Drosophila melanogaster: one gene and its partner. The protein of the gene in region 1 interacts with the protein of each later gene in a pairwise test. Each region holds a gene or a part of one and is shown on either strand. Other genes may lie near its edges.

Region 1 (8,906 bases):
TGCGAGATCGTTATGGAGTGGATGTGACGCCACTAAGTTTCATACCTGGTGGTCGTATAGATAAATATTTGGGCAACCTAAACTTTTTCTTTATTCGGGAGAGCACGTCGATCCGGGAAAATGGTGGCATCAGCGGATTTGTCCATGGCTTCATTACCGAACTGTTGGCTGTGGTGAGAGCACACATCGCTTCGCTGGGCGGAAATGCCATGGTCTCTTTTTACATCACCGAACTTATGTTGTTCGATAATCAGCACAAGAATCAGGTAAGGCAAACACAATGATCTACTTACCTTAAAGTTTTTATACTGAAATCTTGTATTCTTAGGGCCAGTGCCTGATTAGCATCGGAGGCGATGCTGTCTATGTGAGCTACCATGCCGATGACTGATATAAAAACTTGCGGGGCATATAGCGCATGTTTTACGCGAATCGTCCCAAAAGCGTATACTCTCTATTTTCTTCCGCTTAGCTAGAACTATCAGCTCTGCCCAGCAACTGGAGTTAAACTGAAGTTAAACTAATTCACGTTTACTTAACAATTTTACAGCATCTGTAGATGGATTCTTTATGCAATATTTGAACTGTGAGGAATCGTTCTAATCCTAACTTAGTAGTGCTAATTTTTTCGGTCTTGTTACTTGTTTGCTGGATGTTTTTAGCGTTAAATCAATTGCAATTTCTGTACATAGTTGATGTTTATTGAATATTGAATTTAGAACGAGTGCGAGACACAAGTATAATATCGATATATACAATTGTTGCAACCACAAACATGACACATATACTCGTACCACTAGATATCCAATTTTGGCGCGTAAAATACAATACATACAATATTATGGAAATACAACAATTGCTCAACTAAATGTATTTGATTCGATTAGTTTGGTGTAGTGGAGAGCAGCACAAACATGACCCACAGATGTAGTAGGGCCACGTAGACGATCACAGAGACCCGCATCATGGGATAGCGACGCAGAAACGTTCCCACCCGAATACCCATGGAGTCCGCCTGGCGAAGGGCTCGCTTGAAGCGTCGTGCCACACGATTATCGAATGGACTTGGATGCATGAGAAGCGGGAATTGTGCTTTGACTAGGTAGAACTCATATTTATGTAATTTCTGGTACTCGCAGAATGTTAGACTTACCATCATCTGTGCTGTTGAGCATAGTATGGCGGGAGCTGCCCCTTTGGCTCTCCATTTCCACCAAGTGCATGTTTTGCTGTAGCTGCGTCTGTGCCTTTTCGTGCTGTAGTCGCAGGGCATTTCTCTCACTCGTAACTCTTTCCAGAAGACTTTGACGTTCGACCAGTGATTGGGTTAAAGCCTTTAGCCGAGTCTCGTAATCGCTCTTGGCTCCCGTGTTGGCTTCCTCGCTCAATCGCTGACGCATCTGCTGAAGCTGCTGCTCCCGCTCCTGGAGTCGAGTGGCGGCAGCAGCCATTTGGTTACTAAGTTGCTGCCGCAGTGAGGCCAGTTCCTGCGTGAGCACTCGCTGATCGGATTCGGAGGTCACACTGTGTTCCCTTGCCTGTCGCAACTCCTTTGCTAGTGTTTCCTCGCGTTGGCGGGCAGAGCTTAGTTCCACCTGTCGTTGTCTTTCCTGGGAAACGTAATCGTCCAGCTGCAAGCGCGCCTTTTGCAGTTCCTCGTTGGCATGCTCTAGTTCTTGCTTAAGTGACTCGTGTTCAATTTGCAGAAAACGCGTTTCACTGTCCTTGGACACCAGGTTTGGATCTGCGCCCTCCTCCGTGGGCTTCGCCTTCAACTCTGCGATGAGGGAATCCTTTGCTTGCAGAGCTCGCTGAGCCTTGATACGGTATTCCTGAAGCTCCTGGCGCTGCTGCTCCGTTTCCTTTGTTTGCATTTGCAATTTGTGAGCGGCGCTTATGTATTCCTGCTGCAACTTGGCCAGATTGGTTTCCAGTTCGGAGATGGAGTGCACATACGCCATGTTAGCTGCCTGGGCCTCATTGTAGTCATGAACCGCCTTGTCCCGCTCTTCGGACAGACTTTTAACCAGAGCTTCCAGCACCTGGGTGTGTTGATGCAGATCAAACTTTTCGGTTTCGTTATTAAGATCTTCCAAGCGCAGACGCAGTTCATCTCTTTCGGCCGTGATTTCATTCAGGGCGATCTTGAAGGCAGCCAATTCATTTGTGTCCATTGAGTTGGCGGATATGTCGGGACTGTTGGAGAAACTGGCCGACGTGGTCATCTTTTGGCGCATGTCCTTAGTGACCACGGAGACCCCGCCATCGCTTTTTACACTTGATGAGCTATTGGCCCCCGAGCGCCGCACTGGCGACAGAGTGGACTTCAGGGATGTGGACAGTGATTGGGTGCTGCTCGTCATGCTCCTACGCATGGGATCCGCTGAACCTGTGGCGTTCTCTGTCTGCAGGGCCGTTGCCGCATTTTGGTCCAGCTTGTTCAAAATGTTTTCGGCCTTGTCCGCCAGTCCTGTGATCCAGGATGACATATTTTTCTAAGAAAAACAAATCTCTTCGAGTAAAACACGTAAACAATATCACACTGTGTGCCCATATCGCTATCGACTGCGGAATGGTCAACTCCAAAGTTAAGGTCACTCTAAAAGTAACGTAATTTTGAAAAACCTTTTTTCTGATCAAAAAAATATTTATATGAAAATGTAAGGATTGGTTTTAGAAATAAATGTAATTCCAATCTTTCTTATCCGTGCAGAAATGTTAATTTATTATGCTTATCAAAACTCTAGGGTACAAATGAATATTTTATTCAATACTCAACATGGGCAGTGTAATCTTCGCAACTCACAACTATAAACTATCTCTTCACTTTCCAATGCAAAAGTCCTTGAAGACCACGTCGAGTATATCTTCGCAGCTGATGTGTCCGGTGATGCGTTCGATGCAGCGCACGGAGTTGCGCAGCTTGGAGGCGGCTATGGCCATGTCCGGGTAAACGTCGGGTCTGTAATCTCGTAGAAAAATATCAATGTTCTCAATGCAGCGCTCCAGTTGCTGACGGTAGCGTGTGTTTGTGATGCGTGGATTCTCCGCCCGCGGTTCTCCGCACAGTTCTTGCAGCTGCTTCTCCAGTGATCCCAGAAACACGGGCATCTTATCGGGCTTATGGCATGATATGGCTAACACGTTGGACAGCTTGTCCAGCTGCTGATGCTCCTCATCCGTCAAAGTGTCGGTTTTATTGGCCACCAATTGCAGACGTTTCCCTGAGCACATGTCCAGAGGTATATCCAACTCGCCCAGATAGCTATCTACAAACGGAGCAACTGCGTCGTCGTGCGTCAGCTGTGCAATGTTCTTGGCTTCTGCTAGGAGCAATATCAAATCAGATTGGACTAGACAATTCTTGGCTCTCTGCATTCCCTCCTGCTCTATACTATCCGTAGTATATCGGCGTAATCCGGCTGTGTCGGAAAATACCACCGGGTATCCTCCGAAATTGTGCATTGTTTCTATAATATCCCTTGTGGTGCCCGCCTGATCCGTCACTATGGACACGGATCGCTGGCAGAGGAGATTGAGCAGACTACTCTTGCCAACATTGGGTGCTCCAATGATCACAGTGCGGACTCCGTCGCGGAGGAGCTCTCCCTGCCGCTGGTCACTCAAATGCTCGCGAATCTCACGCTTTACCGCCTTTAGTTCTTTGCCGAGTTGCAGGATGATGCCGCCTTCGATTTGCTCCTCTTCGGCGAAGTCTATGTAGGCCTCCAAATGGGCAGCACAGCGAATAAGTCGACGGCGCCAGTTGTCGTAGAGTCGAGCCAGTGCTCCAGTGCTTTGTAGCAGTGCCTGGAGAAAGAAGAGACTTGAAACAAAATTTATGAGACCCTAAGTCCACTGTCTACCTGCTTTCTTTGCGCCTCCGTTTCAGCATGGATAAGATCGGCCAATCCCTCCACCTCTGTCAAATCCAGTTTGCCACCAAAGAACGCTCTCTTTGTGAACTCTCCCGGCTCCGCCGGCCGCAATCCATCCACTTTTCCCAGAGCATCCAACATGGCCGCAATGACTGCCAGGGACCCGTGTACCTGAAACTCGCAGGAATCCTCGCCAGTGAAAGAAGCCGGTCCCGGAAACCAAAGTAAGAGCCCACGGTCAATCATCTCTTTGCTGGCGGGATGGTAGAAGGATTTCAGATACGCCTGACGAGCCTATATGGAAAAGTATTTATAAAGGGAACTATAAGTTTCACTATCATAGAGGTCTCTCGTCTTAAAACCTGGCAGCTTGCCAATTATAACAAATTAAGCAGTTCACGAAATTATTCAATTTATTTAGTCAATTATATGTAAGTTAGGAGAAATTTGTTTATTTTTATACAGGATACATCTCCCAAAATGTATATAAATAAGCAACAGGTCTTTTCATTTGCATACATATATTTTGGATACTAGAAAACAAAACTATACACTGCACAGGTCACGACCCCTCATATATGGAATAATAAACGTTTATATCGATTGACTTGCCTTTGGCTCGTATTCTTTGTTTGCAACAATTGCTCGGAGGGCCTTCTTTGTTTGCGGCCCGGAGACACGGATCACGGACACACCGCACTTGACATGACCGGAACTGAGGCTGTAGATGGTGCATCCGCTGCTGGCAAAGCGCCGGAAACTGCCCAAGAAGCTCTGGGACGCGTTTCTGAGAAGCGCCATCGCCGAAAAACAATTAAATCCCAACCGCCGAATAATAAACAATTGAACGTGATATTAAGTGTGACCGCGGAATGGCCGTTACAAAAATATATCATTCCACTCGGAGATATATACTAAAGAATTGTGCGTAAACAATTATGGAGCGGTGGTAAGCTTGGGTAAATCTCCAGTCCCGACACAAACCATTTTGACCGAAATATGGGATTTGAAACATGGGAACGTTTTTTATTTATTTCTTTGTTATTTGGATAGAAAGAATTCACTTTTATTCAATTAGACAGAAGTAGTTTTTGTAATTTTTTGTCAAATAATTATCAGATTTTTTGTCAAAAGCGTTGGAAAATATCGAATGACATATCTCGATGAACTTGTAATTAAGCCCTTAATTGGTTGGAGTTCAAATTTGGTAATTTTATTTTTTTGACGTTTTTTGAAAAAAATAGACGTTGTTACCCCTTATAAAAAATGTGAAAATAGAAAAAAAAAAATTTTTTTTTTTATTTCACCAAAAGTTGATAAAAATAATAAGCATTGGTAAAAAGCTGTAAGAAATAGTTCTTATTAAGTCTCTGAGACCAATTTTAGCCAAGCTGTGATGAACTTCTCAAATTCCCTCTCCGCTTTTGACGAAGACAAATACACTTAAATATTTTATTAGTAACAAATATCACATCTAGTGCAGATGTGTTACATTTTTACAGTTACATTTTCGGATTTGGACGCTTTAAAATCTGATGCCTTCGACACTATCAATTTGATCAGGCTACAAGAATGAGCGATTGCTAGAATTTCTGATGCGAATACAACTGTCAAATATAAACGGTTTAGAATAAGAACTGACGTTTTCGGGTGCTGTAGGCGTTTGACAACCGGAGAGATACAATGGGTGGTGGACAGCTATCGGTGGCACGAGCAAATTTGTTGCGTTGGATCATCGCCGCATTGGTGTCCCATTGGTTGATAAAGGCACGGGCCTCGTCGTCACATGGCTTTGCCGTACTCGGTCTTTCTTCCTGCAAAAAAGATTATTTCAAATTGATTTTTGTTTGAAATATTCCAAAAAATAGGCACCTGGGCTCGGCGGCGTCGAGGAGCCTCAGTTTCCATCGACTCCAGAAAGTCCCGTCTACGATTTCGTTTGGTCGCCACACTGTCCGGGAAATTAACCCAGGTGCACTCGTACTTGCGCTTCTCCAGTTCGCGCGGATGGTACTGCTCGTTATCGAAGCGTTCCTGATCGTCCCCGACCGAGATGCGTCCGTGGCCCTCGTCCTGCTCCCACATGGAGCGTCGCTTGTTCTTCTTGTACACATCCGCTTTCTCCCGCTCCCTGAGTATCTGATCGTCTGGCAGGTATTGGCTGCCCACTCTGGGCCGCTGGGAACGCCTGGCAATGTGACGCGTTGAGGCGCATTCGATCCGCGCACGGAGGAGCTCGATGCAACGGTTCACCATCATCCGAGTGCCACCGTGGATGTTAACCATTCTCGGAAGATATTTTTTTTTTTTTTACAGTTTTAGAAATTTTATTAAAAGAATTAGGGAATTGTGTAAGTTTTAGTATTGGAATGCCAAAATGTAGCCTGCTTCCAAAGAGGCGGCGTGTAACGAACTGAATCCGCTCCCAACAAATCGAGGTGACATGTAAGGTGCGTACGAATCAAGGCACACCTGATGCTGTAAGTCGGCTCACCTTTCTTAATTAGCACTGTTCACCTGGCGTTAATTTTCCACGACTAGTATCTGTCACACAGATCAGTTGAGTTCTCAGAGTGGCGGCATGAGGTCTACGATTTTGGTACTTCTGTTGATCGGAGCCATTAGGGCGGCTATTGGGAATCAAACCCATCTGGTGGGCTCCTCTTTGGAGAATCGCATTCTATCGCGACGGGTGCGTGCTTTGGTTTTTCCCGACAAGGCATCCCTTCTCCTGACCGCCGCCCTAACCAAACTAATTTTGGGCGGACGACCAAGTGGCCTTCAGTACAGCTTGGAGTTTGATATGTACGTTCCGGTTCCCGACACCATTGAGGGTTGGCAGCCCAAGATCCTAAAGAAGATGAAGCCAAAGCCAATGTCAACGCCAAAACGCCGGTATGATTGGTCATATAGCAAAAGACCTGAAAGCTATTATCCATACTATGCGGATCCATATAGAAATGCTCATTACGAAAGGTAAAGTATATATATTTAACCGTTAAAGAAATAAATTCGAAATTTTAAGTTTTAGTCCTGCTAACAATCATAGAGTTCCATTCTACCAAGCAACATCGAGGTAAATTATTATGAATTACTTTCAAGAGGTAATAATTACAAGTTCAATGTCCTACTAGGGATTCATTTCCCCAAGCTTCATGGCATTCATCCTCGCCCACTAATCGCAGGAAAGAGTTTTATACATCGAGGTAATATAAGATTAATCATTTTGAAATACCCTAAAGTGGCTTTAAAATATTTCAGACCCTCATTGAATAGGGCCTCATTCTATCATAGCCCATGGAGCTTGTCTGCAAATCAGAGAAACTCATATCCACCGGAGGAAGAAGTTTATGAATCCTGGGATCAAGTGCCTAGTTGGAAGTTACATCGTGGATACAGAGAACGCAGAGAGATTTTCGATCAACTCGAGGCCATGGGAAAAGTGTAAGTCTTAAGTGATCCACAGAATAATTTAAAAGAACCTATTAATAGTTTTCAGTTGGACCTAAGGTCTTGTATCAAGAGAGCCATGTGTGAACTAAGGGCCAAGTTAAATGCAGGTCAAGATCAGGGATTCCTCATGGAGGATCTAATGCGAATTGTGCTGACGTAAGTAAAATAATTCATTGTCATATATAATGCCATTAAAACCATAATAAACTATACTTCAGAGTTCCCGAAGAGGTGGCCGATGATAAGTACAGGCATCGCATGGATAACCAGGACTGTGCCCGATTCTACGCCCCAAGTTGTCCCTACAATGTTCTAGACTTCCTTACCCAAAGTGGTGCAAAATTGTAAACATAGTGAGCCGAGAATCGAACTTCCGCCCCAAGTCGTTGTACTGTGATTTCGGATAACCCAGAGTCATCAGTTCTCATTCCGTTCTCGAGCTGGATAGGTCTCTAGCCTCCCAGTTTCGTGTTCGCAAAATTCCATCTAAATTTCCGGCCCAAACCTTTTGGAAAATATATTTCGGTTAAAAATTCAAAATTCCAGAGCTCAAAAATGGCACTGAGTGTTAATCCCTCCCGAGTACTGTTCCGTCCAATTTTTGGTGCGGTTAACAGCTGTGTGCGATTTGCATCCGGTTGTGAAAAGAAGGGGCCGAGCCGGTGCCCGAAGGTGTTGACCAAGTTCCCCTGCGGCAAACCCAATCTGCAGGCTCCGCCCAAGAAGAAGAGGAAGATGGTCAAGGCACAGTCCATGTGGCTGAACCCATTCTGTGATCCCGACGACACCGCCTGTCCGTTCAATCCGCGCTTCGACGATATCTACTACGTCGAGTCGGACAAGGCCAAGCGGAAGTACTGGCAGACATGGGTGGCCTGCCCTCCCATCCAGATTAAGCCCAAGAAGATTTGCTGTTTCGCCAAGGCTAAGCCGGCTCCTATCAAGCGGCGAAAGCCATCGGCGAAGCCATCGACCGCCTGCCCGCAGCCTTGTCCGGATCCGTCGGAGGATCTGTGTCCCCGTCTGGCCCGTCGCTGCCATCGCGATGGTCGCCGACCACCCTCATGCAGAAGGGAACGAGGACCCCTGCCGTGTGTGAAGCCCCGGACGCCATATCCATCTTTCTCCGAGTGCCGACGTCTCAAGCCCGATGCCCCGCCACTGAAGGAGTGCAATTGTCTGGCGAAACCGCTGCTCTGTGAGATTTGGGCCGAGTTCCGACGACGAGCCATTGCCAAGAAGTAGAGCCGTGGCCCTGATTATATAAAGCGCTTTTACGATTCTACAGCATATACATTTTTTATTTGTATGAGGAGATTAAAATGTTTGCCCTGAGTGCCAGCACGGATGCAGGATGTGTGATCACTGAAACGGATTCTTGGCCATATTTGTCACGAGGCTCCAGAGCAGCGGATTGCAGTCACTATAGGTTCGCTCGCAGTCGGCACCTCCACGTCCTGCGTCACGGGCATGTAAATACTTACTGGCCACATTGTCCAGGGTGGGTCTGGAAATTCATTTATAATTACAATTCATAACTCAACCATTCCAAGTAAAATGTCACATACACCAGTA
Region 2 (4,998 bases), 690 kb from region 1:
AGTATTGGAAGCACCGGCTTTTATTTTGTAAGCCCTGATCGCTTTGGTTGTGTCCAAGAATAGATTATATAAATTATAATCATTACAGCTTGAGGCAAGGAAAGATGTACAAATATTCAGCCAAGCAATACAGTCCCGAAGCCTTTGTCCAGTTTGCTGAGAAGGGATATACCCAGAGCCATCCTCAACCAGTGCCCGCAATCCCAAGTGCCGTGTAAGTATTCCTCTCATAGCTAAAATGATTTTAAATTCATCCATCGATCGAATTTTAAACTCAAAGTCCGATTATGACCTTTTTATAGGGATTTGTGAGAAACTGATACATGTGTTTAGTAAGTGAGCCAAGATAAAACTTGTAAACCTATTAATAATTACTATTAGTTAACAAATACTGATTCTTTGTCCCCGGTACAAGGTTGCATATAACGCCAGTTTGAGGGTATTCAACATAGACACTGATTCCACCATCGAGCATAAAACAATTGTTAATATCACTCCGTTGATTAATATCGAACCAAATGTTAATCGTAACCGTTGTATATTATCCAGTTTGTACATAAACAATATTACATTAATCAATTATACCCTGGTTAAAACAGTTCCTGGTTTGAGAAGATCGAATTTAATACTACACAACGTTTATCCTAATAACCAATGATCAAATGAGCTAATGTTTTAACTTTCGTGCTTTTCAGAAACGAATTTTTGGGCCCACTGCAAAGTTATTTTGCAGCTGAAAACATAACATCGCTGGCGACTTTGAGTATTTTCGCCTTAGTTGCTCTCTTATTCGTTGGCAAAAAGGTTGCCAAAATATTCAGTTCAGAGCCTGCGAAAACAAAAAATAAGTCGAAATAAAACTAATATAAAGACTAAATGAAACACGACGTTTTTGAATTAGTCGAGTGACAACAATTAGCGGAAAAGTGGGCGCGAAAATTCAACTGCTGCAATTCCTAACGCCACAAAAACTGGCAGCTCTTTTGGCTGGAACGGTGGAAGCGGAACATGCAAATATGGATACCTAATATCGCAAAAGATCCATTGTTCACTGGCGCACAACGCTGACAATACCTATATCCTATCTCTTGATTGCTTTCAATTAATTAGCGGGCAAGCAAACAAAAATATTTAGATCGGCCCATTTAGCAACTGGGCTCGGAGTTCAGGGGCTAACTCGGCTAGCAATCTAGCCAATTGCTTAAGTGCGATGATAGTTTGGCGTGGAACGCTCAAATTAAAGCAGCGTTTCGTTTCGTAAAGCGTGAGATTCGCGATCGTGTTGTTAGGCAGTTTTTTTTTATTTGTTTCGCAGCGGTCATCGTTGGCGTAAGCGTATTCCTCGGAACCTGGATTTTTTGTATCTTGGGGTAAATCACTCAAAACACGCTATTTATACACCCGCTGATACCCAAATACACGCAAATGTACCCGAATTGGTGTTGGTTAAAACACAGTGCTCGCTAAATGTCAGCTGACGTCAGAAGGTCTTGAAAAAAGAGCGAGGAGTACACACGAACACAAAAACGATTACGAATACGAGTGGGACGTATATATGTGTAGTGCGGTATATCGATATCGGTAGATCGAGAGAGAACACTACACTCACACGACACTCACATTCGCATTCGCAGCGACTTTCGATTGAGATTTTGGTTGGCTGTGGCTGTAGTCAAGCGAGCGCACATGAGTCAGATTCGTAGCTTTTGTTTTGTTCAGTCGAGTGCGAGTTCTGTGCGATTCAGATACTCGCTGCCATCCGAACCGAACTGAAGTCCAAGTCGAATCTAATGTGCGTACTTACGTGTAGAACAGTTCAAGAAAATGTGCAGACATTCAACGGTCGCATTTGTGTGGATGTGTGGTTGTAGTGAAGAGTGCCAGCATTAATCGCATTTTTCCCCTGCACGAGCACCACGACTAGAAAATACTCGACACGTCTGTCTGTTTTTCTGCTTTATTGCTTCTACGCTATTCTGCTTTTCCGTTTCGGTTTTCCTCCGCTTGGCCTAGTGAAAAACAACAAATTTGATTATATTGTGTAAGTTATGTCTAGCATTGAAAAGATGAAAAGTGTCATTCCTATAAATACACCACCACCTCGGGAAAGGCACTCGCAATAGAGAAACTGGCCAAAACCCAACAACAAACATAACAAACAAAGGAACCGCTGAATATAACCAAACTTCGGAGTAGGGGCTGAGCTAAAAAGTATAGTGCGCAGCCATCATGACTAACTCACCACCCAAAACGCCAGCCCAATTACAGAAAATCGATATTCTAGTCGCGCTGTAACGCTGCGTAGCTGCTAAATACACAGCTCCCTACCTGCAAACAACCCGAATACAAAAAAAAAAAAAAGAAAACTACGAATAACAAAACAGTCAGGCGAGGCATTAGTATACCGAAAAGCGAAAACCACTTCCGCCAATGGTCGAAATCGCCGTCGCCATCTCGACATTTAGCTAGCCATATAGCAAATGTCTTTACATATCATACCGATATAATAGAAACCATCTGTGATACGCGTGTACCTTAAAAATGAACTAACTTTGCACCGATCGAGGGTATCACTGGGAAATTAACGATGCGTCTTGTCCGCAGTAAATGTTGTCAACGTGATGTTTCTGTAACCGACTATCTGAACACCCCGCATCCGCACCAGCACCATCCATCGTCCACCGACGTCCAGCACACCAAAAACATATTTACACGCTACTGGGACGACCACATAAGAATGAAGGAATCGAGCGAGGGCAAAACCAGGGCCAAGGCCCCATCCGCTGCCGCATCCGCATCCACCACACCATCGTCATCTTCAGCACCTGCCAAACAAACCCAGAGCGTTACGTTCGTGAGGACCAGTAATGCACCAGCTGTTTGCGACGCCAACGGGAACGGGAATGGGTGCTCCATCCAAACGGAGTGGACATTCCCCCCAAAGGCGCCCACACCGCACATCTACAATTGCCTGAGTCCGGTAAGTCCACACTGAAAGTAAAAGCGTTGGAATATCATGTAAGTTAGGATCAGATACAACTTTATAATATGGTATATAATATATTTTCGAGCGAATTAAGATTGTAAAGAGATAGCGTATATGGCGTAGTTTATTTTTTGCTTCGCCTGCATAGTTCCTGTGTAATAGATAGACCACCCACCCCATTCGCCCATTCGCCCATTCGACAAGTTTCCTCCGCAGTGCAGATTATCATGACGTAACGATTATTAGATACTCCACGGGCGACCGTCGTCTGTACGCAGTATAGTTAGTTCCTAGTCTTTGTGCTCGTGTGTTGGCGGAAGATAAAGGGGAAACAAATTGTTTGCACTTCAGCAATTGCCATTTAAGTCATTAGTATGTATGGCGGTTTGAACCTATGTACATACGGACATTTGGCAATATATTATAGGCTTTTGCTTGGGCACGCTCGGCCATAAATAGATCTATACCGAGGAATTTCAAAGATAAGATTAGAGAATCGCATATACAAGCGCAGGTCAGCTGGGGTTCATAAATAACAAATTCACTCGGATCGTATGTTTATAATTAAGGAAGGGCTAAATCACTTTTGTTTTCCGGTTTTCACTTTCTCGCTTGCACAATTGCACATCTCACAGATATTCATAAAACGTACAAGGACTTTTTGGCGAAACACTTACATTACTAAATTCAGGAAACTCCCCGATTCAATGAATCAACAAAAGTAACTTGACACGTTCTAGAAATTTTGCAGTTTTGAAATATGCATTAGCGATAAGGCAAAAACTAGAATATGACTCACAATCAGCGTGTAACTAAGTAAATATTATACATAATAAGTGAATGTAGAGATATTAATTTATTTCGGAGTTTCTAAGATTTTACCAAATTTTATACTTATAAAATACTCTTCATTCTTCCAGGACATGATGGCCTCAAGTGATAAGAGCAGCTTTAAGGGATTTCGCAAGCAATTCAGTGGACGGTTCAAGCGCCTAGTTACTCGAAAAGTGGAACACACTCCAGTGATACCTCCAGAATTGAAGCCGCAACTAAAAACAATATACGTTTACTAACTTAAGATGTAACGACAATTGCAAGCACAAGTGTTTTCCCCACTATGTACGTATGCACCTCATCGGTTGGCGTATACATATGTGTATGTAAATGGCAGGAAACATTAGTGATAGGAAAAGCAAGATAAACTAAGTAATCATAATACCATTCTGATTGACAATTTTAAGTATTCAGCGTATTCGTGCGTATTGTTAGGCTCAATAAAAAAACGAACATTGCAAAGACAGACGAGGTTTAAAATGAATTGGAACAAAAGTCACGGGGTTCATGAAATACATACATATCGAGAAAGAACATAACATAAATGTTCAAATATCTGCTGGTAGTACCGATACGAATCTATGTATTTGCTTCTTTTTCAAATAAGTTAAAGGAACCTACTATCCTACCTATACCTACATGTTCATTAATTACGATTAAAGAAATAGTTTAATTACCAAACTGCTGAAATAATTATTGTGTTGGTAGTTTCTGTGTGAAGGATGAAATGGAAAGCAATTTAACGAGACACATGGGCACATTATCTCGGTCTGCTTCAATCGATGAACCAAGGAGCTTTTCCATATCGAGCAACATACAACTGAAACCACAAGCCATGCCAACATTCAAACTTAGTGGAACGAAGAACTGGCTGCTATCATGCGAAAAGAATTTAGCCACTAAAATGGTGCTGCGATAAGATTGAGGTAAGCAAAGTGGATATGCCACGTTGTGCGGACTGAGAGAAGCGATGGCAACCACAAAATGTGCTATCTTAGGAAAACATACCCCGAAATCCGCAGTAAGAACTCCGTTTTAATGGTTCACTTATCATATGTATTCGAAATTAACTAGACAATTAAATAAAATGCTTACTTTATTCCAATCTAAACGTACGTACACACAAACGCGTCTATATATATACATAGTCAAGTACTCGTATATATAGCTCCACCGAC

Evidence for each region. The genes of interacting proteins can lie anywhere in the genome.
Region 2: the proteins of CG18528 (region 1) and CG11791 interact in a two-hybrid assay, tested with the Drosophila melanogaster proteins (one large-scale study listed by BioGRID).

The regions. Positions count from the first base shown.
Region 1 is NT_033777.3:24,355,388-24,364,293, forward strand, and holds CG18528 (uncharacterized protein), read right to left. Parts: upstream 4,758-8,906; 5' UTR 4,680-4,757; coding exon 4,491-4,679; intron 4,173-4,490; coding exon 3,867-4,172; intron 3,811-3,866; coding exon 2,824-3,810; 3' UTR 2,708-2,823; downstream 1-2,707. Other genes in the region: CG6454 (uncharacterized protein), read left to right, coding at 1-266, 329-391; Golgin84 (Golgin-84), read right to left, coding at 884-1,098, 1,154-2,489; CG5762 (uncharacterized protein), read right to left, coding at 5,504-5,692, 5,751-6,164; CG33339 (uncharacterized protein), read left to right, coding at 6,460-6,854, 6,910-6,954, 7,013-7,084, 7,140-7,322, 7,371-7,487, 7,550-7,679; CG33340 (uncharacterized protein), read left to right, coding at 7,887-8,576; CG17784 (uncharacterized protein), read right to left, coding at 8,694-8,838, 8,900-8,906.
Region 2 is NT_033777.3:25,048,577-25,053,574, forward strand, and holds CG11791 (uncharacterized protein), read left to right. Parts: upstream 1-1,666; 5' UTR 1,667-2,587; coding exon 2,588-2,980; intron 2,981-3,906; coding exon 3,907-4,059; 3' UTR 4,060-4,498; downstream 4,499-4,998. Other genes in the region: CG11790 (uncharacterized protein), read left to right, coding at 1-27, 89-214, 696-858.